Linked DNA regions of Danio rerio. The protein of the gene in region 4 interacts with the protein of the main gene of each other region in a biochemical or structural test. Links are inferred from orthologs where the notes say so. Each region holds a gene or a part of one and is shown on either strand. Other genes may lie near its edges.

Evidence for each region.
Region 1: the proteins of kpnb1 (region 4) and kpna2 form a complex in vitro, tested with the Homo sapiens proteins (6 studies listed by BioGRID and IntAct, with this or other methods). The link is inferred for Danio rerio from reciprocal best matches to the Homo sapiens genes KPNB1 and KPNA2.
Region 2: the proteins of kpnb1 (region 4) and kpna4 form a complex in vitro, tested with the Homo sapiens proteins (2 studies listed by BioGRID and IntAct, with this or other methods). The link is inferred for Danio rerio from reciprocal best matches to the Homo sapiens genes KPNB1 and KPNA4.
Region 3: the proteins of kpnb1 (region 4) and nup62l form a complex in vitro, tested with the Homo sapiens proteins (2 studies listed by BioGRID). The link is inferred for Danio rerio from reciprocal best matches to the Homo sapiens genes KPNB1 and NUP62.

The regions. Positions count from the first base shown.
Region 1 is NC_133178.1:24,115,958-24,124,539, forward strand, and holds the start of kpna2 (importin subunit alpha-1), read right to left. Parts: upstream 4,996-8,582; 5' UTR 4,944-4,995; intron 4,847-4,943; 5' UTR 4,811-4,846; coding exon 4,745-4,810; intron 4,600-4,744; coding exon 4,459-4,599; intron 3,173-4,458; coding exon 3,087-3,172; intron 2,998-3,086; coding exon 2,729-2,997; intron 2,631-2,728; coding exon 2,536-2,630; intron 185-2,535; coding exon 1-184. Other genes in the region: nucleosome-remodeling factor subunit BPTF, read right to left, coding at 7,726-7,762.
Region 2 is NC_133190.1:1,646,152-1,654,023, forward strand, and holds part of kpna4 (importin subunit alpha-3), read right to left. Parts: intron 7,357-7,872; coding exon 7,304-7,356; intron 6,212-7,303; coding exon 6,116-6,211; intron 6,039-6,115; coding exon 5,953-6,038; exon of another isoform or gene 5,374-5,952; intron 4,827-5,373; exon of another isoform or gene 4,587-4,826; coding exon 4,500-4,586; intron 3,509-4,499; coding exon 3,339-3,508; intron 1,038-3,338; coding exon 993-1,037; intron 915-992; coding exon 783-914; intron 88-782; coding exon 1-87. UniProt on the Homo sapiens protein: Functions in nuclear protein import as an adapter protein for nuclear receptor KPNB1. Binds specifically and directly to substrates containing either a simple or bipartite NLS motif.
Region 3 is NC_133189.1:11,190,108-11,194,074, forward strand, and holds the start of nup62l (nucleoporin 62 like), read left to right. Parts: upstream 1-1,167; 5' UTR 1,168-1,183; exon of another isoform or gene 1,184-1,267; intron 1,268-3,967. UniProt on the Homo sapiens protein: Essential component of the nuclear pore complex. The N-terminal is probably involved in nucleocytoplasmic transport.
Region 4 is NC_133194.1:51,606,997-51,615,131, reverse strand, and holds the end of kpnb1 (importin subunit beta-1), read right to left. Parts: intron 7,795-8,135; coding exon 7,647-7,794; intron 7,140-7,646; coding exon 7,068-7,139; intron 7,000-7,067; coding exon 6,855-6,999; intron 6,685-6,854; coding exon 6,602-6,684; intron 6,573-6,601; exon of another isoform or gene 6,431-6,572; intron 6,319-6,430; coding exon 6,211-6,318; intron 5,451-6,210; coding exon 5,307-5,450; intron 5,038-5,306; coding exon 4,932-5,037; intron 4,853-4,931; coding exon 4,738-4,852; intron 4,632-4,737; coding exon 4,470-4,631; intron 3,165-4,469; coding exon 3,164-3,164; 3' UTR 2,152-3,163; downstream 1-2,151. Other genes in the region: csf3b (colony stimulating factor 3 (granulocyte) b precursor), read left to right, coding at 692-710, 975-1,129, 1,270-1,356, 1,459-1,578, 1,692-1,868.

The DNA.
Region 1 (8,582 bases), on a different chromosome or scaffold from region 4:
CATTGGGCCCGTCGGTCAGGTAAGAGATGGCCCAGCAGGTGTCCGCAAGCACTTCTTTGTCACTGTGCTGCAGAAGGCAGATGAGTGTGGGTAGTATCTGTTTCACAGCCTCCAGAGGTGGTGCAGGGTTCTTATTGCGGCACAGGTTTGACAAGGTCCATGTGACGTTCCTCAGGTAACCAGCCTGTAGAAGAAAAACTGGCTGGTCAGGGTAATTCTACACAGCTTTCACGCCATCTAGCGGTAATGCATGCTCACTACAGTTTAAAACAAATAGTCCTGAACACCAAAAACAACATTGTTTGAGGTTTAGAGATAATACATGTAAAAACCTTTATTTTAATTTTTTTTAGCTAATAATTTTAAATACGTTTTATGCAATACACCTTTCAAGAACCCATGATCACTGTACAACAAATATACACAATTCAATAATTTAAAAATAAACCCACAGTATATTTAAAAAAAAAAAAAAAAAAAAAAAAGAGAAGATTATAAAATACAAATAGCCAAATAGCTTTGGCAGAGGGAACAGAGTGTATGGAGGAGAAGGATCTAAGGGAGCAGAAATGAGTGATGATATGGAAGAGATCAGACAAATAAGCTGGTGTGAGGTTATGGATAGCCTTAAAAAGTATGCAGGACGATTTTATAATCGACTCTAGGTTGGATTGGAAGCCAGTGCAGATTTTGTAAAATGGGGGTAATATGGTGAAAAAGAGTTTAGTGATGATGTGGGCAGCTGAGTTCTGGACCAGTAGAAGCTTATAGACGGATTAAAAAAAAATGTAATACATTAATAGGTTTTCTAAATGTAAATTTATAGGGAGAATGTTACAAGTTGCAATTAGCAATTTGTAGTCATCAAATTTGTAAAAAAAAAAAAAAAAAAAAAAACACAATTATTTTATTTTACAATCATATGTGCGCCCATAGGCGTTCTGATCTAAAAAAAGATGGCGTGTTGAGGTGCATTGCTATTTTGAGAAACTATAATAGTCGGTTCTATAGACCTGAACAAAGCCGGTCTATTGTCCAGCAGAGCACGTTAGTTGTGCGCCTCGCTTACACACTGCTTAATACACACAAAATGTAGAGCAATACGCAAAAATCTTTACATATGAAAAATTAAAATATAATACATATTAAGGATTAAAAATATTACAAAAGATTATTTTCAAGCCTAAATTAATATAAAAACTATACTTTCATGCCTTCATCCCGGGAGGCTTTTTCAGTTCATTCATGACAATTTGCTAATGTATAATGTATTATTTTTAGCAGTATTATATGCATATTTATATTTGCTTAATTAAAAACGAGCTTAGATTTGCCCACCTGTCAGGTTTCAGACCATATGGGAGTAGCATGTGTATTAGGATATAACTCAGGTTTTTGAACACACTTCGTTATTATTGTTCATTTATTTGTTTGCTGGAAATTAGAACAGATTTTAGAAATAGTTTTAAAACTAATCTTTGCGCTTAAACTAAATTAATTACTTATAGGCTAATTGATGTCGGTGCGTATGACACGTTTCCCTATCCACAAACGTGAAAGTTAATAAGGAGGCTCATTTCTCATTCTCGCGCTGTAGATGCTCTGTTTAACTGTTTTCTTGCTAGTGAAACGCTCAGTTTTTCCACTTACGTCATGTAAATAGCAAATGCGCTATGGTGCGATGCAACGCACTGTTAAAGGGAATGAGAGATGAGACTCTGATTGGTTTATTCTCAAAACACATCTATAACTCATTAATAAAATAAGCTGAACCCTTTCAGACCATGCGCCATGGCGCAAAGCGGATTTTTTCCCTCATTATTTAAGAAAAAGTGGATTCTGACATGCCCTAATGCGTTTGCACCCTGCGCATGGATTGTGAAAAGAGCCCAAGGTTTAAAGTAAATCTTAAGTGTATACCTTTATAATAAATTTAATATAATAATAATAATATCTATTAAGCTTAGAGTGTAAATAAACAAGAACAAAACTAATTAAACCGATAATTTTTATTATTTGCTTGAGAATCAGGTCAAAAACATTTGATAATTACGGAGGACAAGAATTGTAATTAAATAGTGAAAGGCAAATTCCAAATGTTTCAGAATTTGTGCATGAAAATATAATGAATTTGTCTGGGGTTTTCTTACATTTTCATGCGCAAATTCTGAAACATTCGGAATTTGCCTTTCACTATTTAATTACAAATGTTGTCCTCACTAATTATCAAATGTTTTTGATACTTAATTATCTGAGGAATAGTTATTTTTAAAACTTCTTAAAAAGTCATAAAAAGACAAATTTTTGCGATATTCAATCTGTAAATTGGTCTAAATCAGCTTCACATTATTTGGTATAATAATAATAATAATAATAATAATAATAATAATAACAACAACAACAATATTTTAACCAACTTAGATTGTAATATTGCAATAAATACATTTCTCAAAATTATTTTTACCAAATTACAATGGACACCCATCTGAGAATAACTTTAAAACCAATTTAAATCCATCTATATAAATAACTTACAGGAAACACAGACAAATCAGGAACAGCCAGCAGAGCCAAGAGGGGGGGGATTGCACCATGCTTAATGACTCTATCCCTATACCCAGAACCATCACCTACACACACACAAACACAAAAAGAACAAATCAATTTGTACACCCACATTAAAAAGAAAATTAAGGGATCTAACTGAAATATTCTACTTAGCACCCACCAGCGATGTTTCCAAGAGCCCAAACTGCCTGCTCGCTAATATGAGCATGTGGTGACGAGATGAGGCTGATGAATGCTGGGATTGCCCCTCCCTGGACCACGGCGCTGGTCTGGTCAGATGTTCCAGATGCAATGTTGGTCAGAGCCCAGGCCGCCTCAAACTGTATAGGAGGAGAGTCTACCAGGCTCAGGAAGCCCACGAACTTAGGAATCAGACCAGCACTGATTATGCGGTCAATAGGTGGATGTCTCTCTCTTGACAGCAACTTCCTGCATGTCAGTGTAAGAAATGAAGCTTAAATACAAGTTGAGATGAATAGAGCTATCTGCACATGTATAAGCAATCTACTGGGAATTACCTGGCAGCTTGTGTGGCCTGGACTTGAGTCTCCAAGTTATTACTATTCACACCATTTACAATCTCCTCCACTGTCCAGTGCTGTGCCTGTATGAACAGAATGGAGATTTTATGAGGTGTAACATTGAAGGCAAGACCTTACAGGCAAAAAAAAAAAAAACGAAAAAAAAAAAAAAAACGCACATCTCAATATTGCAAGTTTGGTCCTTTGGCCTTTCATATTACATTTTTTAGGGTATCAGAAGGAAATCCAAAACACTTTAGGGTTTATTTTAGCACGTTATCAACACATGTCTGTAGATTTAAAATTGCAATACATTTCTAAAGTATTTTCCCCCATCCAGGACAAAGCCATGGATATCCATTCCAGCAGCACTTGCATATGCCAAACTTGTGCATATGCATCAACTATCTTCTTGTGCCTCATGTACTTTTGTAAAATACTTTACTAATTTTAAAGTTTATTTTATTTTATTTTTTTTACAGTGAGAAGCACTTATACAAAATTTGACATATACATATTTACTCAAAAAATAAAATTACAAGTATTAAAAATATCTAGCGGTTTTGGTGTATTTTCTGAATTAATGCGTCAGAAAAACAAAAGTTGAAACTAACTTTTGAACCTGAACCAGTGTTTACATTTTTGCTGTAGAGATACATGCAAAAAGTGTATTTTTAAATCAAATCATTTGCATATTTAAAGCAACATTTAAGCTCCGAATTAGGTACATTCAAAACTATTCTGAAAGCACATCGGTTTAGCTGTGCCTTTACTGAATAAGCACTGTGCTACATCTGGCAGATCACACTATTGTCTTTTTGTTTTAACTCTTAAAACATTTTTTAAAAATTAATCCCTTTTATTATTGGTCTTTATTTTCTTGTCTCTTTTATTTCTGTTTATGTACAGTAAGGCACTTTGGACTACCACGGTGTATGAAATGTGCTATATAAACCTGCCTTGCCTTAAATCTTTAAAAGGAATAGTTCACCCCAATATGAAAATACACTCATTATCTACTGACCCTCAAATGGTTTCAAAACTTTATGAGTTTCTATATTCTGATGAACACAAATTATTATTTTTTTTACAGGGAGCGGAATAGCTTTAACCATTGACTTCCATATTTGTATCTCCTAGTATGGAAGTCAAAGGTTACAGGTTTCCTTTATTCTTCTTAATAACTATATATACTTTTGTGTCCAACAAAACTTAGAAAGAGTTAAAATTAAAAATGACGAGTAAATGACAGAGTATTCATTTTGGGGGCTCAGCTAATTTGGGAAGTAGAGTAATAACAACCAAAGTGTCTTATTTGAAATTTCTTGAGTTTACTGATCTTGAGCAGCAAGTCGGCTGATCTGCATACCTGACAGTTCTGGCTTTTCTCTTGGAGAGGAGAGGTGGCCTCATCCGGAAAACTGCTCACGTTTCTCCTCTTCAAAATCTGCTCGTCTTTCTTTGCTTTACGAAGCTCGACGTTGACTTCGATCCTTCGACGTCTCAGCTCCTAGATTACAGTATTTAACATTTATATGAAAGCTAATCTGAAATACGATATATTTAAAAAGTAACAATAACATTCGACTCTCTTTATGCTGTTTTCATGCTATTCTGTTATAGCATGTTATCTATAATGCAAAGTGGTCACTTACAGTGGCATCTTTTCCTTTGTTTTTGAACTGAGTGAGTCGAGCGGTGTTCTCATTTGCAGCAGACATTTTAATGGAGTTTGATTGATCACAGTGTGTCGTAGCCTGGAAAATAAAATATATCCGTGACATATAAAACAACAATACATCACAATCAATTCACATTTCATAAATACATCTTTATATAATGGTATTAACATACTATTTAAATACGAGCAAAAGTAGGAACTCACCACTTTCAACCAAAGGACTGTGGAGGAGGAAGTATGACACAGATCTTTAAACTCGCGGTTTGAACAATCTGATTGGCCTGTTCGAGCAAAAGCATCTTCCTATTGGGCCGTTTTGAAAAATCACACCGCTGGCGTGAAGACGTGGGTCACACATTATCGCGAGATCTGCTGAGAATGCCGATTATGAACTTGAATATTTTGGGCTTTAAAAAGATACATGACCTTCAAACAGATACAAATGCATTACATTTTCAGAATATACATTTCAGAAATATACATGAATATTTTGGGTCTCCCTTTGTTACTGATACCTGGTTGGACTTATTGGGTTGACGTTTAAAAGCCGGATTATTTTACTTTCAGTAAATATATTTATCATATGTTGTTGTTGAGAGGTTGTGGATTCATTTCCACCCACATTTAATATTTGTTTCGTTTTATACCCACATTTAAACAATACTACAGTGACTGTGTAAATGTAAGATAAGCTTAATTATTCATTTTTAATAAAATATACTGTCTCTTTTTGATGTTTTTCTGTTAAGGGAGGGGCAAATGAGCTCTAAGTTTAATTCTGATTGGTCAATGGCGCTTGGCATTCTGATGTTTAAAATTCTGTGAAGAATTGACGGATATGAAGCAACAACACCACGTGTTTAACGTTACTGAATGGAGACAGAACATTTATACACCATTGTACGCTAACAAATGATAAACAATAGAAGTTGGTGGAAGGTATGTATCATTTCACGGTTTAAATTATGTAACTGTAGAACTTGTAAGTGAAACTACACTTTCTTTGGGCTTGAAAAACAGCTTACGTTGATGGTAACACAGCTTGCCTATTGTTAATGACATTTTTATTCGTTTTCCTTCAGCTTATTCCCTTTATTCATCAGGGGTCACCACAGTGGAATGAACCGCCAATTTATCCTGCATGTGTTTTACACAGCAGATGCCCTTCGAGCTGCAATCCAGTACTAGGAAAAATCCATACACACTCAAATACTACGACCAATGGGGTAAATGTACACATACGTTTAATTTCATTCAGCCAGCCTCAGAGATTGTCGTCCATACAAAATTGGCCAGTTAAATTTCTAATTTCTTTAAAAAAATTAAAAAAACAGCGATCTTCACTGCTTGCCTGAGATACGACACAAAAAGTGGGTATCAGACCAAACAAGAAGCCCTGCATTAAACTATATTTTTCCATGCCATGTCTTTAAAATATGGAAATTAATTTTACTTCAGTATTTTAAATAGAGTTTCTGAGCTAGCCTGCTGCTAATGGTGGCACCTGCGTTTAAACGGTTTTTCGTCTCTTTTTACACTTTTACAATCAAATGGATGCTATTTAACTGATTATATCTGAATTACAACATTAATGCTGTAAAAGAAACTGTAAAATTGAAAATAGTCACATAGAGCTTTCACTGAAAGTTCATCATTGGCTGAAAAACACTAGCTGTTCATATAGCCCATTTAGTTTATTGATCTATAGCGCATGGCTTTGGACTGTGGGGGAAACCGGAGCACCCAGAGGAAACCCACGCGAACATGGGGAGAAAATGCAAACTCCACACAGAAATGCCAACTGACCCAGCTGGGACTCGAACCAGCAACATTCTTGCTGTGAGGGGACAGAGCTAACCACTGAGCCTTCATGTCACCCCATTTAATTCAGTTCATTAAAACTACTATTTAAAGTTTATGAATATATAGATCTGGGATTGCAGCTAGCTTTGAAACAAATGATGCAAAGTATACGAAAGTCACATAAATAAAAAGACTTTATAGAATATTATAATCCTAAAATCATAGAATGAACATGGTTATTGCCATACAAAGTCTGTACCAAGATGGAAAAAGTGCACTTAAAAATATAACAAAAAAAGTTTATTGTATTTAGTATATCCTCAACTATAAACATGAGAAAATATGTGGTTTGTTGTGCGCCTTTTAACACAACCCACACACAAATATGAACCGTTGTGTTAAGATCATGAATCTATCCACGAATACACCATATTCTAAAAAGAAATCCAATATGAATTTTCCAAAATATGAATCGGCATATTGTTCAGGGGGTCTACTGAGGATTACATTAGGTACTGCTTTTCAAATGGAAAGAATATAGAGACATCTTAATCAATGTAGAAGAGAGAATCCCGTCCCCTCCATTTATTTGTTTCATATACATCAATATTTCTTCAGTTGTAATACAAAAAAAAAAAAAAAAGACAAGTTATACAAACATGATACCTTCTCTACTAGCACTTTCATCAGTCCTCAACGCAAGCAATGCTTCCTTATTTTAGGTAGGTTGTTCTACCCCATTGCTTAAAAACAAATAAGCCCATTGCGCCCACATTCCACTTCTGAAGTAGTATGATGAATCTTATGAAATAGAGAGGAGAAAAAAAACAACAAAACAACGGGTGCACCCATGATAGACTCCTGCTGTCCTGGATAATGCGAACGCGATTCCGAAAGGTTTTTAAAAACTCACAAAAAAACATTTTTGTAGGCGTTTAATCCAATAAGAAATCCGCCAGGACAGCATCCCAGTCAAAACTCATTGTTTGAACAACCAAAAATGTAAACCGTCCATTCCTGATCCAAACCCACAGCTTTTCTGTCCGATTTTCCACCAAACGATGTGGCTATGAGCGATGCTGGCTGACTGGGAAAGAGTTCCATCTTGAATTAAATGTTCAAAGTTTATTTAGAACAGCATGTGGTTGTATTCTATGAGGCTGATGACTGTAGTTTGTTGTTATGAGACCTAGAGAATACAGAGAGAATGAGGTTAAAAGCCCTTTGGTTTTATTGAACATCCACAAATATGAAATCCGCAACATGGGAACAGAGAGTGGGGGGGACTGCTTCAGGAGTAAAAGGAATGGCAGCCATGTTGGTACAATACACCGGGAATGCCTTTTCAGTCATTTAGATTGGTTGTGAAGTCAGATTACGTTTACAAAATAAAAATAAAATCATACAAATTAAACCGTTTATAAAGCATGGTCCTTTATTTCAACATTGAAATCCTAATAAAAGGAATTAAAACTATTTTAACCTTTTTTTTTTTATTCAAGCCAACTGAAACTGCGTAATTTTCTGCGAAAACTACACAAAATTCATTAGACCTCTCAATGAAAACCCGAACAGATGAGCGAACCAGCTGAAAGTCGAGCACATTACAATGCAACTGAAAAGAAAAGTCTTAAAATGCTTTTAATCAAGCCAATCCACGTGATAAATATGATCATGCATTCATGTAAACACCATAAATAACATCATGTGACCAGCAAACATTATGATGAAAAAAAAAACAAAACAAAAAAACAGGATCATACATATATATGCACAGACAGCATTTCCCTTGATTTTTGTGTTCGCAGTGTTTCAACATGGCTGCCGCTCTCTGATTGTCAAAGGCTTCACTGGAGTTTTTGGCTTTTATTGACAGGATTCTCAACCTCCGAACTGAGCGACTCGTTTCACTTAAATGTACACCAGTTTCCGCTGTTAATAAAACAGCATGTTCCGTGATTCGCTAATAAAGAGTGACTCCGCCCCTTCAGCCACTATGACTTAAGACA
Region 2 (7,872 bases), on a different chromosome or scaffold from region 4:
GTGACCCAAAGCATCACAGTTGAGCACCACCTGAGTCTGCTCATCTGTTCCCGTCACAATATTCCCCACCGCTCGCAGCGCTGCCGTCTAAAGCCACAAAACAAAGACTGTGAAGAGACTGGTAACGCATATTCTTGTAGCATTATAATTTATTTTAAAATGGCAGAGAAGTTTTTTTTTTTTTAAAGAGAACGGGACCTTTAATTTTAAAGCCAGTTCACAACAATTATAACTATGAATAGAAAGGTAATGATAAACTTGCATCAACAGTGCAAGAAAAAAATAATAATAATAATAGCCCAAGACACAAAAATAAACATTGATTGTTTCTTTTTTGTTATTAAGTTTTTGCATTCGGCATGAATCCTTCAGATGACCAGCAGATGTCCTCAGTGTGCTGCTGCTAGCCATCTAGAATTAATTTAGCGATCATGTACTCGCAGTAGTGGAATGAAAACTAACTATTTACTCAAGCATTTTCAAAGGAGTAAGCAAAAACTAGCACTGGATACCTGAGGTACTTTTTTATACAGCATGCACGGCTTCTTCCACAATGTCATCTGCAGCTTTAAACTGCATGAGCCCTTTTATATTTCAATGGATTCAGATAGGCTGTCAGAGTGAGATTGATTGAATAAAAAAAATAAAGCAATCCCAAATAATAAGGCTTCTCATCGTCTTTATCATTGAAGTAGCTTGCACTCAAGGATTTTTTTTGAATGATATCTTTAGCTGTAAGGCCTTTGGAGCATGCCCTGCGCAAACTAAAGGCTCATCCATACCTGAACTTTGACCTCCTGGTGGCTCAGTAATGGTACGAGGTATGGCACAATCCCAGAATCGATGACCATCTGGATCTGCTCATTGCCAGCGTCGGTGAGATAGGAGAGCGCCCAGACTGTGTCCACAAGGATCTGCACAGAGCAAAGAGTTAGCATTCACCATCCGCCTCCAGAGAAGAGCATTCGCCATCACAGCAAACTCCAACTTACATTGACATCAGTGTGGTGAATCAGCACACACAGCGCTGGGAGAATCTGCACGGACACAGAGAGACATCATCAGAACACAGAGCAGACATGACGTAAATGAGAGAACGAGTGCATGGTGGGGGATTAAGGCGATGGAAATACTCTAAAATGCTCTTTTGTTTCAGTTTTGGCATTAAAGTCTGCATGAACCGGAAGCAGTGATTGTTTTTTGGTTCATATTTTGATGCAGCTTATAAAGAAATGAAATATCAAATGAGAAAACGGTGGGCGTGGCTTGTTTTTTTTCTACTGCAAGTTGATTGGATGATTTAATTCAGAAAACAGTTTGAGGAAAGTTTACAACCTAACAGACTCCTCCTCCTCACCAATTCAGGTTGTTATAACTGACAGCTGGAGGGGCGTGGTTAAGTAAGCCACGCCCAATGCCTCAGTCTATGCGACTTATCTACACATTAACAGAGGTGGGCAAACTACGGCCCGCTGAACACTTTCATACGCCCGCGAGGGAGTTTTTAAAATGCTTCTTCTGAGAAGGTTTGGTTCAGAATTAGTAAATTAATGATGCAATTACAAGTGAACGCCATGTGATGGCAGTATTGCACGCGGTAGCCAGTAGAATTAGAACACTCTCGGATTTAAAAATGCACTCGACCGTTAATGACCGGACGCGCTTTATGCTTCAGGAGCCTCTTTTGAATGGTTTACTAACAGCCGCGAGGGTTTTGTTTAGCGCGCTGCTGCATCCTGCACGCCTCGAGTTTTAACCGCCTGCTGCGCTTCGCGTTTTTGCTGTAGCAGACTCCAGACTGACACCCTTGCGAAGAGAGGGGACCAGGCTTATTGTTCACATTAACACACTCATAATATCATGACTTGTAATAATGAAGACGAAGACTCTTCCTCCGTTTTGTCTCATAGTTTTATAATGATTGATGTGAGCATATTAACACAAGCTCAAATGATGTGAATTTGGACTCAAGTTATCTAATAATTGCTGGTTAAAAGTGTTAATTTTAGTGAGAATATATTTTCCATGCATACAACCACTTCAAAAAAGGTATTTTATCAAAGATTTGTGGTTTTATCAAGTTTTATGATAATTAATCTGTATATTGTAAAAGCAGTGCAAATTAGATAGTAAATTTGACTGAATAGTAAACTTTAAGAATTATTTTTAATGTGTTAATGTGAGATTTTTTCTATCAGACAATTTCTTTTTTATTCTCCACTGTAAAAAAAAAAAAATTACATTATTATCTTTATTATTATTATTATATAAGAGATTATTTCATTGTTTTACGATGATTATTTTTACTTAATAATATAAAAAAAATCTTTTGTGTTATTGTGACATGTTTCTGTGGCCCTTCACTTGGTTTGCAATACTTGATGTGGCTCTCGGGTCTAAAAAGTTTGCCCACCACTGCATTAACATCTTTAAAACACTTTCTGACTCTGCATCAGTGTTTGCACTCAGTGAACAGTGGTAAACCAATAACCTTCACAGCCAATCACAGTCATTTCTACTAAGCATGCGAGCACAATAACCAATCAGTGCAGTTTAAGTATGAGCTCAAATGTTAGCAGGAAATAAACGTTTTTGCGATTGGTACTTAAGTTGATACTTGACAACACTAAATTATGCCCAAGTTAAATCAACTTGTTAATATTATAAAAGCTCAGCCCGCCACATTTGTTAGACAAGCTGCCCAAACTATAAGTGCTTCAATTTAGGGCTGAACGATATATCAACATAAAAATTGCATCTGCGATTTAGCAAAAGCTGCTAATGTCTTGCACATCATGTGAGGGAATTACAATGATGTGATCAGTGGAAAATTCTCCCCAAAAGACTTAACTTTATAGTTTTAGTGGAGAGTTTGAATTGAGCAAAAACGCCATTATGTGTGGTATTTGCATGTGCTTTCAGCTTTAACTTGAGCAATGTTTACTTTAAAGGGCCGTAGTTCATTGAGAAGTTCTGCAAATATCGATCTAATCGCAGAATTATTTCCGATTTGACGATCGCATGATGATGTTGCATGTGATATTTTGTGTAGTTTGGCAGACAACCATGGCTGTGTGCAGTAAACACAGGCGCCGGAGATTCACAGCTGACTACAGAGCCAGCTTTACTGACAAATGCACAACAAATGTAAGCGCTTTCAACCCTACTTCCATTCCTGTGGCATTTAAAAACAAACATTAAATGCAAAAAATGAAATGAAAGGACATAAGGATTTCCAGCACCATTATGAGCCCTCTAATTAAAACAAACTTGGAGGCTTTGATTTCATTTAAAATGCTGCCATTTCCACCTCTTAAAAATAAGCATCATATTTGTACCTCCTGGATGGTCTCCATGGGCGGGGGAGGGTCCTTGTGGCGGCACAGGTTGACCATGACCCAGGTGACGTTACGGAGGAAGGTGATGGGTATGGAGGGGCTGATGAAGGATAGGAGTGGTTTGACCACACCCAGACTGATGACGTAATCTCTGCACTGAGGACCATCACCTGCAGAACAGCACAGTACTCTCATTCATCAACATCAGTGTTATAACTGTACATGACAAGCTTCCAGCAACAGGCAATTTGTCAGTCCTAACTAAACATGACAGAAGATTTAAACACCAGTCACTGCACTGCCAACCAAATGGTAAGGTTTATAATCGAACAAGTATTTAACATTAGAATAGTACAGGGGCTGATTAACTAATCTTGTTGGTTTGCACTCAGTTCTGACTTTCATTTTCAAACAGTCTGCTAGTTATTTAATCTTCAAGATCTGAGGTGAACTAGAAGCTGCTGTTTTCAGTAGTTTGGCAATAAACGTTACGTTAAATGTATTTAAACTCAGATTGGGGCATTTAACACTGAATAAGACATATAATCAGTACCTGAGCTGATCAGTATCATGGCAGTTTATGCTGTTGTTTTGCGAAAATAGAAATTTTACACGTCGCTGTTGCAGCGGGTTAGGACAAAATTTAGTTTAATATGAAAAAGATACCCTATAAAATCGCATGTAGTGAGGACACATTATGCCTCAACCCACCAGCCTCTGATCCAGCAGGGTTTATGCAGGTTTCATAAAGTTAAAGACTTAAATTCACTTTAAGACTATATTTAGGACTAAATGCGAAGAATATTTTACTAATGACCAGGTTGGCCGAGTGCAAAAGATCTTAACTTGCTCCATCGCAAAAAAAAAAAAAAAAAAAAACTAAACTCTAATTTAGTTATTTCTTAGATTTCTCTCTCATAAACTCTAATTGTATACATGCACTTAAGGAAGATAACTAAACTATACTGGTAAAGTTAATCAAAATAACTCTTGCGTTAAAATATGTATTTCAAGCGATTGTTGACCAGATTGGGTAGCTTTGCATGGACAGAGGAAAATTAAGACCCGTTTGAAATGATTTAAGACCCACAACACAAAATCTCCTTTAATTTTAAAATTACGTTATTGAATGGAGATTTTAGGATTCAAGTGTTCACTTACCGATGATGTTTCCTAACGCCCAAACCGCCTGCTCACAGACGTTCTGATGTGGAGAATGCAGCAGCCGCAGGAACAGGGGAACCGCATCTGCGATAATAAAACACTTTCATTACCTAACGTGCAAATCTTTTTACAAACAATCATCGTTCGAAACGCTGTTTTTAACCTCAGGTAAAGATACTTTTCACACCTGTAACACCCAGGGTTTAGGAATGTATGGTGTGAAATGTCTGTTAATGAATAACTATCCTTAGACGAGAATAGGTGTCATTCAATAGTTTTAGGACAACTTAAAGGTTTTGATCTGCTTAAATTGTTGACTTAAGCCTGGTTTATACTTCTGCGTCAAGTGACCGGCGCAACTCACGGCGCAGGCAACGCGCGTGGCTGTGCATTTATACTTCTGCGCGCTGTCTCCGTTGGTCTGCATTAACACTTCCGAAACGCTAGTGGGCAGTGAGGTGTAAATGTTCCTCTGTGTCGAGTTTCTTCGCTTCTGTTTTGCTATTCTGAACACTTCCTGGATGTACAAGTGACTCAAACTCGCTCATTTTGAGGCAGGAACCGGCGGACGTGCAACAACTTTAACCATGAGGTAAACACAGAACAAAACTTTCCATCCGGAGCTCCTTCACGGGACTCCACACTTGTAAACAATCGCTCGCGCCATTCGCGCGGCTCTCGGTCCCGCCCAGACTCGTCGGCGCTAGCAAGCCGACCAATCACAGAGCTTGCGCTACGAGTTGTTGCGACGTGTAGTTAGAATTTTTGAGAGGTGCACGTCAGTGTTGGCGACGGCCACGGCGATGGGCTATGCGTCAGCGCCGTAGCATACGCCGGTGTTTGACGCAGAAGTATAAATCAGCCTTTAAACTATTAACTGTGTGAGAGAGAGAGAGAGAGAGAGAGAGAACTGAGTTTATTGCCATTTCAGTTCCTTTAGTAGTATCTGAATGCAGCCTTGATGATGCAAGCTGAGATTGCATCACTCAGCGATGCAATGTCAGACTCAATGCACTCAATGGAGCGAGTGACGTCACTGTGATAGGTGGGGTTAGGTGAGCGTATTAAAAAGCATTGGATGCAGCTCAGATTGCACTGCACCGAGTCTGCAGCCAGACCCCTCTCGCTTCTTTGGCTGTCATGGCAAAAAAAAAACAGATCAAATTTACCACATTTATAAATACCACTTTTCTATATTTATAAAAAAATATTCTAACAATTAAAAAAGTCAAACTATTAACTGTAAAAATTGATTATAACTATTCAACTATTTGAACTGTTCACCCCTGGTATAGTATGAGCAGTGTCAGGAATGTGATGAGAACATTCCACCACAGATAACCCAGGACTCAGTTTATACAGAGTTTAGATGACTCAGAGTTAAAAATTTCACATGTAAAAGTCCTAACAAACGAAAGTCTTGAACAAACAGTGGCTGAGATGAACTTACTAGATTGTACCACGGCCTGCGTCTGCTCAGACGTCCCGGACGCGATGTTGGTCAGAGCCCAGGCTGCCTCAAACTGCAGAGACGGGCTGCAGAACAGAAACACCAGATCAATACAGATGCAAACCAAACAGAGTCTCATATGATCACATGACACAGGTCTTACTTGTCATCTCTGTCCAGGCAGTGGACCAGGATGGGCAGAATGCCAGACTTGATCAGGTCATCTATGGGAGGGTTGCGGTCACTCGACAGTAGCTTCCTGCAAGTGGCAACAGACAAGATTTACACATGCAAAAAAATCTCTTTCGTTATCACCTGAACCCCTGTGAACAAAGCCAGGACTCCCTTTTATCTCCTTTACACAACAACCTCAAAAAATTATGCAAATCACAGTCCGCCTCTTACAGGTAAGTGGCCTTGACAAACCACCTGCAGAAAACACTCATCTCTGACACTTGCACCAGACACTGTTACAAATTTCCCAATACACCTAAAAAAAATCTCTATATCTGTGCATTTATGAAGTGTGCCTCACACATGCGAGTGGCCTTGACAAACCACCTGTAAAAACCCATTTAAAAAATAAATAAAAAAAACTTCCCTTCTAACTCTAGCACTTTAATCTCGGAGCACTAGGGTGGCACAGTTCTGGAATTCGCTACTAATCGATACTGCAGTTTTAAAAACATCTCCCACTAACATTTGAGCGCTGTTGAGCGTGTTCTTGAACACTGTTGATTTACCACGGTGTTCATGTGCTCAATAGAAATGACTGTGATTGGCCGTGAATGTCATCAGTTTACCGAACTCACCGCTGTTTACCAAGTGTAACCACAGATACAGGGACACTGGAGTGTTTCAAAGTCCCATCAATCCGCTGGTTCTTTTATAAGCTGTCATATGAATGATCTGCTGATGAATCGTGGCTTTAAACTGCTCCAGTGTCCGTTATGGTGTTTACACTCTGTAAACAGCAGTGAGTTTGGTATCCCGATTACATTCACGGACAATTACAGTCATTTCTGTTGAGCACGTTAACCCAATAGCAAATCGGCTGTGTTTTCTAACGTGCTCAAATGTTCTTGGGAAATGGACCTTTTTAAAAAATCAGCATCGATTGGTACCAAATTCCAGTATCGTGACAACACAGAGCACTTACAGTATAGCTGTATAATCAGCCTTTCTTGTGTGTATTGCAATTGTTAGTCGCTTACAAATGTAAATGTTTAGTGCAATAAAGGCTACATGTCCCACTAAACGGCCCATTGCACAATCTCCAGCAAACAAACTAAGCCAAATGAAAGGTAGCTCTTACAAAACACTAGAGAGATGAATAGGAGCAGTTTCTCACCTGGCGGCCTGCACCGCGCTGAGCTGAATGCCCTGGTTATCACTGGTCGCATTCTGCAAACATTCACAATGGTCAATCATTTTGTTATGTAATGCAAGTTTCGATAATGACCTGAATCAGATGTATTCTTCAACAGTCTGTTTTCAGCTAAGAGCTCAAAGGAGTGATAAACAAACAGTGCAAGTCTACAGAAAACAAAAACTCAAAAACTTCATTAAACACTACAGCTTAATATAATAGAGCTAAAATTCTTTGTTTTTCATCATACAACTAAAAGTATTGCCATTTAATTTAAGTATCAATTCACACCATTTACTACTGGCTTATTAGCTGACTACTATCAAGATATGAACTGTTTATTAGCACCTATAAAGTACGATCGTATTCTACATTCCTAATCCTACCCAATACCTACTACCTTACTAGGGGTGTGAACCTACACTGGTCTCGCGGTTCGGTTACGATTATCATGCCATCGATTCGGTTCAATTTGATATCTTGGTGCATCACGGTGCATTGACAATGCTTTCCATACATAAATAGATTTTTTTCTTTACAACACAATTTCT
Region 3 (3,967 bases), on a different chromosome or scaffold from region 4:
ACATTATTTTGGATGATGAATGAATTTTCAAAAAAGCATTTTAATCCAAAAAGATTGTGTTGAAAAGAACAAAAGGTAAAATAAGTGAGCGATGTAGAAGATTCCCAGAAAGAGCAGGTATACAGCCTTTAAACTGCTAGACAGAAAATAAAATATATATTTATATTATAATAATAAAGCCATTTTATAATTATTTAATAAAATAGTTCTTTACTTTAATTTGTTAAGAGAGCTTTAGGGTGGCAGGATCAATGATGATGATTTTCTTATTTCAAGTCTGTAAGACTTATTTGAGTTCATATTTAGGTTATTCACTAAAATATACACTAAAATATATCATTTAAATCGTTCATGGAGATGAATGCAGTAAATAGTCTGTATAAAAAAGTTTAAAAATAAACCTGTGCAAACAAGCTAACCTTTATAACCAGATTATTTAACAAAAGATGATTACTGCAGTAAAATATTTGTAGTCTTTTAATAAGCAAGATGTGTACAGGATAGAGAGGGTGTGAAAAGTGAATTGTTTGTTTTGAAACTTTTGAATCGGAATTTGTCCAATTATAAACCCGAAATACACGTGTTTGTTGTCATGTGGTGAACTCGGCCAATCGTGTAATATCGGTGTCGTCATCAAAGCTCCTGCAGTCGCTCTTCAGAAGCTGCATGGTCTGAGTTTGCCGTCTGATCTCGGAGCGCTGTCGCGGTACTTTGATGCCACATGTGACAGTCACGTGGCGTCGGCGCAGCATCAATCCGGACAAGATTTCTAACCAGAATGCACCGCTTTAAGACAGATTTCGATCGATCTGCGCAGCGCTGCATGAAGTCGAACGCACCTAATAAAAGAGAGAGAGAGGTCACCAACCTCATCACTGTCCTCACCAGTGCCCGCCCCGAACTCGTGCACACGACCTGCTGATAAACAATTATGTTTATAGACTTTTTAGTTAATGCAAAAATAAATTAACTAACTACATTCCTTTTAAATAAAATAATAACGATTTCTTTATCATTTGATGTTGTGGCTTATTACGACCTTTTATTTTAATGTGATGATGTTGCCACATAAGTCTGTAATTTTGAGCAGGCAGAATGTAGACCCTAGACAGATGACGCGAAGGTCCTGAAAGAAACTGCGCATGTGACGGATGCTGTGCGCGGGAGCTGCTGTGAAGTAGTTGTACGTTCTTTATCATTTTACATTTTATTTGTTGAAGTGTTTTATTTCACCTTGTGATGTGTAATGTGATCAACCTATCTTAAAGTAAGTACATTTGTGATGTAATTGTGGAGAAATCTGCATTGAGTTGGCGTAACGTGAGGAACTGTCAGCTAGCTGTTATCACTGAAGTGAAGCTAAAAACATATCCGTTCTCTTACTATGGCGTTCAATAATATTAAAGAGTCTATCACACGAAATGTTCATATCTAGAGAATTGTACGTAAGTTGCTCAGCTGCTTGCAACAGTTTAGCTATAATCTTATAATAGAGCTCAGTTGCTCATCATAACGCTGTCCCCAAACCCTGAGTGGCTTACGTACACATTTTTGCAATCAAATTTTTAAAGCTCCAAGAACATTTGCGTGTTGTTTGTAATGGTGAATATCTTGACCGTGTGCGTATCTAGATGAAAGGTTTGGTACGTGTTTTAAGCCTATTCCGCATAAGAGCATTACGATCTACAATGATGAGTTAATGTTGGTTAACTTCACACATCCACAACAATGTCTAAGTAACGTTATGATGAGATAACGTTACAATTATTAATTCGTTAAAAGGGGTAAAGTTGGTTTTGTACTTGCACATTCGGACTTTTTCCTTCATTCATTCATTTTTCTTTTTGGCTTAGTCCCTTTATTAATCTGAGGTCACCACAGCGGAATTAACCGGCAATTAATCCAACATATGAGCAATTCCAGCGTTATGGATGTGACATTTGCAGTAAAGCTCAAAACATAAATTCACATAGAAATGATATGTTAACATTATATTAAAACTTCTGTTTATATTTTCAGAATTACTGACCACAGAGTTACGGGACCAGAAAAATATTGATCTGTAAACATGTTTTGTACTTTATATGAGAAAAATAAACATGCAATATGGATGTGACAAAAAAAAAGTCTGCGGGTTTACAGTAGACAACATTCTTTGTAGAAATTCTGTAAACTGCACAACCCAAACAAAACAATGCTAATCAAAAGAATAAAGAGTTGCTCACTATAGAAGTATTTTACAGTACTTTAGAAATACGCAAGAATGCATCTGTTAATATTCTACAATTTCTGACCCGTTACATCTATAACGGATAGGTGTCGTTATGGATGTGACACCTCAACTATGGAAGGACATTTTAGCTTACCCAATTCACCAATACTGCATGTGTTTGGACTGTGGGTGAAACCGGAGCACCTAAAGGAAACCCACCCGAACATGGGGAGCACATCCAAACTCCACACAGAAATGCCAACTGGCCCAGCCAAGGCTAGAACCAGCAAACTTCTTGCTGTGAGGCGACAGCGCTACCCACTCTACCACCGTGCTGCACTTTTTCCTTAATATACTTGACAAATTCTAAATAGGTAAATCATATTAGAAGTGGCTTTCAAAGTACAACATTGATCACAGTCAATTAAATAGTGCTAATGTTGTTTTGAAGTCACGCTTGCATGCTATTTCAGAGGAAATACTCAAAAGTAGCGTGGTAAACAATATAGATAGCGTGCCATAAGTTGTCACTGTTCAAAAAGAATGAATGTGCGAATATAAAATCAACTTTACCTCAATCCATTATTTTTGCTGCTCCAGCTTTATATTAATTAGGAATATATTTCAAATTCATCTATGTGTATGAAGCAGGGTTTAGGCATGGGCCGGTATAAAATTATGTATATTAGTATGATAACCTTGGATAAAAATATCACTGTTTCAAGGTATTGGGATTACTGCGCTAAAATATATTCTTTGTAAATGTCTGGGTTAAAATCAAAAACTTTTTTACCCTTTTGAACATAGTATATCTAACATTTTAAATATTTTGGAACAGTAAACATGTTAGGCCAAATAAATTGACTTCTGCTGTCTTTGTTTGTTTAAATTTAATTTAAACATCTTCTCTGCTGGAGATATTATTGTCCTAAAAAAATCACAAATTAAAAATTGTACACATACCTTAGGAACGGTATTGCAGAAAATTTTGGCTGTTTTAAAACCTTGACTTTTTTCCAACCGCTGTATACCTTAAAAATATCGTCCCATACATAGCAGGTTTTTCACTGGAAATCCTTGAATATGCTTCAATTTTGATCTAGTGTTTTTTGGTGCTTCTGTGGTGCTTTCATAATAATTTGTTTTTAAGTAGGTAATTCTAGCGAACTATTTAAATAATTAGTTTTGCTCTTGCTGTGAGGCGTTCTTTTCACCGTGCTGCTCTGCTTGCGGCAAATATACCATCAAAATTTGTCCTTGAAATACTATACTAAAGTACCACAGAATACTATAGCAAATAGTATCTGGTATATTGTAGTATGAAGTATGTACAGTATGTGTATGTGCATGTTTATATGTAATTTACCACAATTGTATCTGCAGTGTGCTTGAAAATGCTCAAATTTGACTTTGAAAAATGTGTAAGAAGCCTAACAGGATATAAAATCATGAATTGTGTTTTGCTGCCTGACTTTGTAGAATAGAACTATTCTTATAATTAAAAATGATCATGTAGATGTTGACTCTGGATGGTTCATCCTAAGATTAAAACGTCATCATTTAGTCTCCCTCATGTGGTTTTAAACCTTTGAGTTTTTCATCTGTTGAACACAGAAGATAATTTGCAAAATGCTGGTTGCAGGTACCCATTGACTTCCATAGTTGGAAAAAAATGCAGTGCTTAAAGCATTCTTCAAAATATCACCTTTTGTGCTCGAACCGAAGAAAGAAACTCTATAAAGGCTGAGTAGATAA
Region 4 (8,135 bases):
TGATTATTTTAGACTGATTGATGGAGGAGGAAGTGTAGTGAATAACCATAAAGCCTCATTACAGCTCCATCATTAGTCTCGCCTGCAGCAGTGCTGTAATAATCCCGCATCAGTGGCGGGGAAACGGCGGATTGCTCAACGCGGCTGTGACGCGGCTCCGGGCGTCATTGGGGCTCTGCTGCTGCGGTTTCTGCTTCTGCTTCCTGCTCTGACGAAACTGCAGAATTCCCGGGATCTGAAGCTCTAATCCGCGTTTAATCCCCGCTCAATAACGCTCTGTGTACCGGTGTGAACGGCGATATGAGTGACGGAGCGGTTTATTCCCGGTGCAGCGGCGGCAGGTCTGCGGTTGGAGTCCTGCGGGCTCCGAGTGCGCATGCGCTCCCGGTGTTCGCCAGCGTAGACACGCGGTGCAGGTGAGCCACGTGTGTGTGTGTGTGTGTGTGTGTGTGTGTGTGCGTGGGTGGGTGTTTCAGGAAGAGCATCCGCCGGTAAACACCGGCTCGAGTAACCCCGAGGACTGACTGACTGTTTCCTTCTTTTTGTCAGTGTTTTTCGCAACGCTTCAGACGCAATAACGCGACGCCGATCAGTCATGGAAGTTTCCCCAGTTGAACAATCAGGCTCTTTAAAAGCCTCCAGATCCGCACAGCAGCACCCAACACCGGACACCGAGCACCGGCGAGCCGCCATGAAGACCTGCTGCCTCCGTGAGATATTAATATTATTATTGATCATTGTGATGATGATTATTATTATTATTGATCATTGTGATGATGATTATTATTATTATTGATCATTGTGAAGATTATGATGATTATTATTGATCATTGTGACGATGATTATTATTATTATTGATCATTGTGATGATTATTGTAGTCATCATGAGGAGACTCAGTGACCTGCTCTCTGTCTTATAATGCAGTAATACTGTCTGATGGAGGATAATCATCTTTCTCCTTCATGTTCCTCAGTTCTGCTGCACCTCTGTGTGTGCCAGCTGCTGTGTGTGCCCCTACAGCCACAGCTAACACACACACACACTGAACACACTCTGAGAGCCTTGAGTTTGGCCAAGAAGATCCTAAACGACATTCCAGCTGTGCAGGAGCTCTGCGCACCCAACACTGTGAGCATCCCCCAACACACACACACACACACACACACACTGAACACACACACACACATGGTTAGAGATGCTCCAACAGTAACAGCTGTTCTCCTAACGTAAGTGTGTGTGTGTGTGTGTGTGTGTGTGTGTGTGTGCAGGGTTTGAGTTCCTCCACTGAGGAGTTTTTATCCAGTGAGTTCCAGATCCCGACGTTGCCGCTGCTCAAATCTGAGGATTTAACACTGGTAAATACACACTAACACCTGTAAATACACACTTATGTTGCATGTGTGTGCAGTGTTTGTAGGTGTATAGTGGTGTGTCTAACATTGTGTGTGTGTGTGCAGGAGGAGCGTGTGCAGCGGATGCTCATCGGTCTGGAGCTTCATCACAGAGTCCTGCTGAAGCTGCTGGAGCCCTGCCGCCCAGAGAACCTACTGAACGACCTCGCAGAGCTGCGCACGCTGGTGAGTGTGTGTGTGTGTGTTACTGACTGACACTAGTGTACAGTGGTGAGCGTGTGTGTATTACTGACTGGTATTAGTGTGTACTGGTGTGTAATGCGCTCTGTGTTCTGCAGCTCCTCCTCCAGGTGCCCTCTGCTGGTCCTCAGGTGTTGCCGCACACACACACTCTCTCGGCTCCACTCAGCCAGTTCAAGCTGCAGGTGCGTGTGCGCGCGACACTCCGGCAGCTGCGCAGCTTCATGCAGGACGTGTTCCGCAGCCTGCGCTGCATCAGTGTGTCTCAATGCTAACTGCACGCACATACACACACACCATGACTTTCGCTACATATTTATATATTTAATATTTATTGTTTTGAACATTTGTTATTTTGGTAGCCGACACATGTTGTGTTTAACACATGTTGACCGACACATGTTGTGTGTTTAACACATGTTGTGCCCTGTGGGTGCGCTGTAATGTTCTATTTAAATGTATTTATTATTAAATTATTTTCCTGAACTGGTCTTGTGGACGTGTGCTGCTCATTTATGTGCCATTATTGAAGACACAACACACACACACACACAGCAGAAAGATTTAATTTAACTTTATTTTCATATCAATGGAAAAATATAACCTCATACAAATGTCTGATTCTGTCCGTCGTCGTCTTCTTAAAAGCTCGGTGAATGACTCCAATTAAGTGCCGCAAGAGGAAAACAAAACAAAAAATTACAACCAAAAGCACATGGATGCTGCTCGGCTCGCCGCCGCTGACGTGTGTATTATTAATTCGCATCTTCTACGAGTAACACATTAAGCTCAAGTCCATCTGCACCGCTGGGTTTGGCACTCAGTTTCCTGCAAAACAAATAAAGGAGAATAAAGTCGCGTGTGGAGGTGTCTAATATCCCGTCGCTCCGCCGGAGCCTGCGCCTGTAGTGGCAATAGTCTTCCCTAGGCAGGGCAGGTGAAGCTCCGATCCGCACATCCATACTAACACACACCGGTAAGAGAACCATTACTCAATCAGCACTATTATTAAAGAAACACAGAGGAGGAGGAGGAGGAGGAGGAGGCCAGTAATGTAGCGCAGCCGTGACGAGAGGCCGGACGCCTCCACTGCCGCTCGCCGAGGGAACGCAAGAGCAGCTCACTCAATCGCAAACAAGATATTGATCACCTTTATTTATTATTGGTTGAAATATTGAGAGACGACGCGGAAACAGCGCCGCCCTCGCTCACTCACACACACACACTCCAGTCACGCCATCATGGCTCCAGCAGCAGGTTCCCGCGGCCGCCGTCTGCTAATCAGTGTGTGACGGTCAGTCCTGCAGCTGATCGGGCCGGGGGGAGGATCGGGTCAGGATGGAGAACGCGGGCAGGTGGAGAAGGTGGAGGTGTGTGCCGCTGTTCCTCTGCTGGAGCTGGACTGAAGGTGTGTGTCAATCTCTCGCTCTTACACTCGCTCTCACACTCGCACACACACTCATCAGCGCACAAGCACTTCTGTCCACAGCTCTAAAAGACAGAAGAACCGCAGGGCTTTCATTTCCATTTGTCCTGGTAGAAGAAGAAGAAGAAACTCCACAGCCGGAGATCTGCGCACACAGGAGAACAACACGTCACACACACACAGGAGAACAACACGTCACACACACGCTGAGAGGAACACACACACACACACACAGGAGAACAACACGTCACACACACACACACACACACACACACACACACACACACACACACACACACACACACACACACACAGGAGAACAACACGTCACACACACGCTGAGAGGAACACACACACACACACACAGGAGAACAACACGTCACACACACACACACACACACACACACACACACACACACACACACACACACAGGAGAACAACACGTCACACACACGCTGAGGAACACACACACACACACACAGGAGAACAACACGTCACACACACACACACACACAGGAGAACAACACGTCACACACACACACACACACACACACACACACACACACACACACAGGAGAACAACACGTCACACACACACGCTGAGAGGAACACACACACACACACAGGAGAACAACACGTCACACACACGCTGACTGAGGGCCAGAGGAACACACACACACACACAGGAGAACAACACGTCACACACACACACAGGAGAACAACACGTCACACACACGCTGAGTGAGGGGCAGAGGAACACACACACACACACACACACACACACACACACACACACACAGAGGAGAACAACACGTCACACACATGCTGAGTGGGGGGCAGAGGAACACACACACACACACACACACACACACACACACACACACACACAGAACAACACGTCACACACACACGCTGACTGAGGGCCAGAGGAACACACACACACAGGAGAACAACACGTCACACACACACACAGGAGAACAACACGTCACACACACGCTGAGTGAGGGGCAGAGGAACACACACACACACACACACACACACAGAGGAGAACAACACGTCACACACACGCTGAGTGAGGGGCAGAGGAACACACACACACACACACACACACACACACAGAGGAGAACAACACGTCACACACATGCTGAGTGGGGGGCAGAGGAACACACACACACACACACACACACACACACACACACACACACACACACACAGGAGAACAACATGTCACACACTCGCAGAGTGAGGGCCAGAGAAACACACACACACACACACACACACACACAGGAGAACAACACGTCACACACTCGCAGAGTGAGGGCCAGAGAAACACACACTCTCTGTGCTCCTCAGACTGGAGTGAACAGCTTTAACACACACACACACACACACACACACACACACACACACACACACACAGGCAGGTTTGTGGGGTCAGAGGTCACGCACCAGGCTTGGCTCTTCAGCTTGCGCAGCTCCTTGGCGGCCCACGTGGCCAGAGTCTTGGTTTTGCTGGTTTTGGATCTCCGGCCTTCAGTCAGCAGGTCATTGATCTGAGGACGCACCTCCACCAGCTTCATCACATCCTTCCCGAAGGTGGTGCACAGGTCCCTGACACACACACACACACACAGGGGTCAGACTACTGCACAATGTCTGTCTGTACGAGTGTGTGTGTGTGTGTGTGTGTGTGTGTGTGTGTGTGTATGTGCCTCACCCGATGAGCCCTACAGCATTAGCCACGACTCCGTCAGATCGGTCCTCGTCCTCTGCGATGTGGTGAATGAAGGACAAGATGAACTCCACACGCGGCTGAACCAGCATCACATCGGCTGCGCAGGAGAACACACACATTACGCACACGCCATGCAATGCTGAAGTGTGTGTGTGTGTGTGTGTGTGTTCACTTACGGTGCACATTCTCCTGGTCCCCCTTCAGGCCCTGGATGATGCCGGTGTAGGCCTCCAGACAGCCCTCACGCAGCTCGTTCAGGTAATCCACCATATCATAGTCCGTCTGCAGACACACACACACACACACACACACACACACACACACACAGCTCAGCTCGTGTAACAGACAGACAGTGTGTGTGCTGTCAGCGGTCAGGTCTGGAGATCTTCTCATTGAACTGTTTAAGATCAGTGATAGCCCAGAGCAGCGCTGAACGTCTGCTCTACACGACTGAAGGACATCACAGCACCACAGATGATAATAGACAGAAGTTCAACAACAATCGTCAAACACTGAGCGCCGTGTGTGTGTGTGTGTGTTCATCTGCTCACCTTGTCCACCTGTGCCTGCGAGGCCTGCTGCAGAGTGTCCAGCACAATGTCCAGGTACTTCTTGAATTCTCCTCCAATGGCGAGAGCGATGTCTCCAAACACAGACAGAATCTGGGGCTTGACGGAGCGGTGCACATTCTCATTCTGCGCGCACACACACACACACACACGATTACATGCTGAACTAGTGTAAGCGCAGCTTTAGCACTGAGACAGTGGAGAACAGATCATGTGTGTGGTGTATTAGTGCACATCTGAACACGACCCAGAGCTCATCATGGCCGTTCCCCACACTAGCTCACTACCCTGCTGACCTCATGGCCATCTTGTCAAATAAAACAGGCTCTCAGCTGAAGGCCCCTCAGTGTAGGGCAAATCCTTTCAGAGCCCCAAACCAAAAATAAATCGAGAGCAAAACTCCTCAGATGAAGAGCTCCAGCAGCTGCACGACTGACGCTCTGGGCGAATGAGACGTCAGCGCTTCCGTCAGCTGATACCATCATCATCATCATCATCATCACGCAGTGTTCACTGTGCCGGCTCGCGCTCTACTCATAGTTAGTGTACTATTCATACACTTCTGCATTCAGCTGAGAAGAGTCTGCCGAAGCTTGATCAGTGCTAACAGCCCCAGTTTGACCAGCGCTGCTTCACTATATAACCCCTAACGCCAGGAGATGTGAGGATGCAGGAGTTTTAAAGAGAAGAGCAGGTAATGGAGTAACCGTCAGCCCTATTCAACACGCCAACAGAACTGGACTTTTATTAGTACAAAACAAAGACAGAAACGAAAGACTAGCGCTGTTTCTGCATTAGAGAAGAGGAAGTGTCGGCAGTGGAGCATGTAGAGCTGGTGTAGTCCAGCAGTGTGCTGCAGTCACGGCCTGAGCGGAGCTGTACTTACACCCAGATTCTCCAGCAGCAGCTGCATGATTTCATCACAGTAAGGCAGAATATTGGCCATCAGAGCCCGACACAGATCACACACCAGTCCCACCGCAGCCAGGCAGACCTGCAGCACACACACACACACACACACACACACACACACACACACACACACACACACACAGTTCAACACTTCTGCTTTATGGTTTATGTCCAGGTATTTTCAGCAGGTTTACAGCTGTAGAGTCCCGCAAAGTCCAGCGTGGCCACAGGAGACCGTCGGTCGGCACACACCGGGTGAAACAGACTCAGATTTCTCTATGATGATCTAAAATCCTGAGCCGCATGATCTCTGAGCGGCAGGAGGAACGATCATCAACACTCACGCCGCAATGCCCCAGCTTTACCTGATATTCTGCATAATTCTTCAGTCCGATAATCAGGAAAGGCTTGAAGGCGTCCATGTACTTCAGGAAGTCACTGCCCAAAACTGGAGGAGAACAAACAGAAGACCTGGCTTAATCAGAGAACCAAGCAGACAGCGGCGGACACCGACTGACACACCACAGCTCTGATCACATGACAATAACGACAGATGTGATGGAGTTTGAGTGTCTATGATGATGATGATGGTGTGTGTGTGTGTGTGTTGCTCCTCACCCTCCACCAGTGTGCTGACGGCCATCAGTGCGTCCTCCTGCACGCCTCCGGAGCCGGCGGTGCTCTGAAACATGCGCAGCAGCGACGCCATCACCACATCCGAGATCTGCAGCGCATCCTGATGCTGCACCTTCCTCAGCACGTTCTGCAGGAGTACAAACAGCTCAGAACACACACTCATACATACACACACTTACTCACACACACACTGACCTGTAGCGTGGCGCACAGCAGAGACTGGAGGTCATTGAACTGGATTCGGTCTGATGTGCTCTGGATGTGAGACTGCACAAAACACACAGTTATTACAACCAGAACACACACACACACACACACACACACACACACACACACACACACACACAGCTCCTCTACATGGGCATGTATTTCTGAAGCGAGTGTGTATGATGCTGAACACACGATCAACTGTGTGTGTGTGTGTGTGTGTGTTCTGCTGAACAGTATCAGCACAGATCAGCCAGGCCTATAATGCTCATTTACAGGGACAAATGAAAGTTCAGGTGTTTGGGGGAACAGACTGACTGACGTGATCCTGTGTCGCATCGCTGATCAGTGTTATGCTACAGGCTCAATCTTTAGCCAAACCTGTTCAGGAGGCAACATTACTGAACTGAACATTACTAAAGGCTTGAATCATACAGTCCAGTCCTGCAGATCATACAGCTCAGTGAGAGACAGATCTAGAGCAATACACATCATCATCATCATCATCATCATCATCATCAGTGCTGGTCAACTCATCTCCACACAGACACAGAAGCGGATCTTCACCTCCATTTGCAGGACCTGCTGCAGCCGCTCCATGATGACCAGCGTGGTCTTCTGCACCGCCGGGTAACAATCCTTCGCGCTGTTCTTCACGATCTCCATCAGAGCCTCGTACGCCGCGCTGCGCAGGTTATTCTGGTGCCCGTCCGGCCTATCAGAGAGAAAACAGCCTGACTTAACACTGCTCAGAGGAAACACTGACACACACACACACACACACTTCATGCTCTTACGCCTGAAGAGCACTGATAACACTGTGTTAAAGAGCCCATATTATGGGTTTTCCTCCATGTAGTGTGTATCACAGCTCTAAGTGAAGTGAAGTATCCAGCCAAGGCTTAAATCTGTAAGTGTTCAGTGTTTAAAACCGTTGATTCAGCTATAAAAGAGTCGACTCAGTGCTTCAAACGAGTCGTCTTGATAACGAGTCATTAGGTTTGGCCATGACGTTACAATGAACCCAAGTTATTCAAGATTTAAAATCTGCGGCCC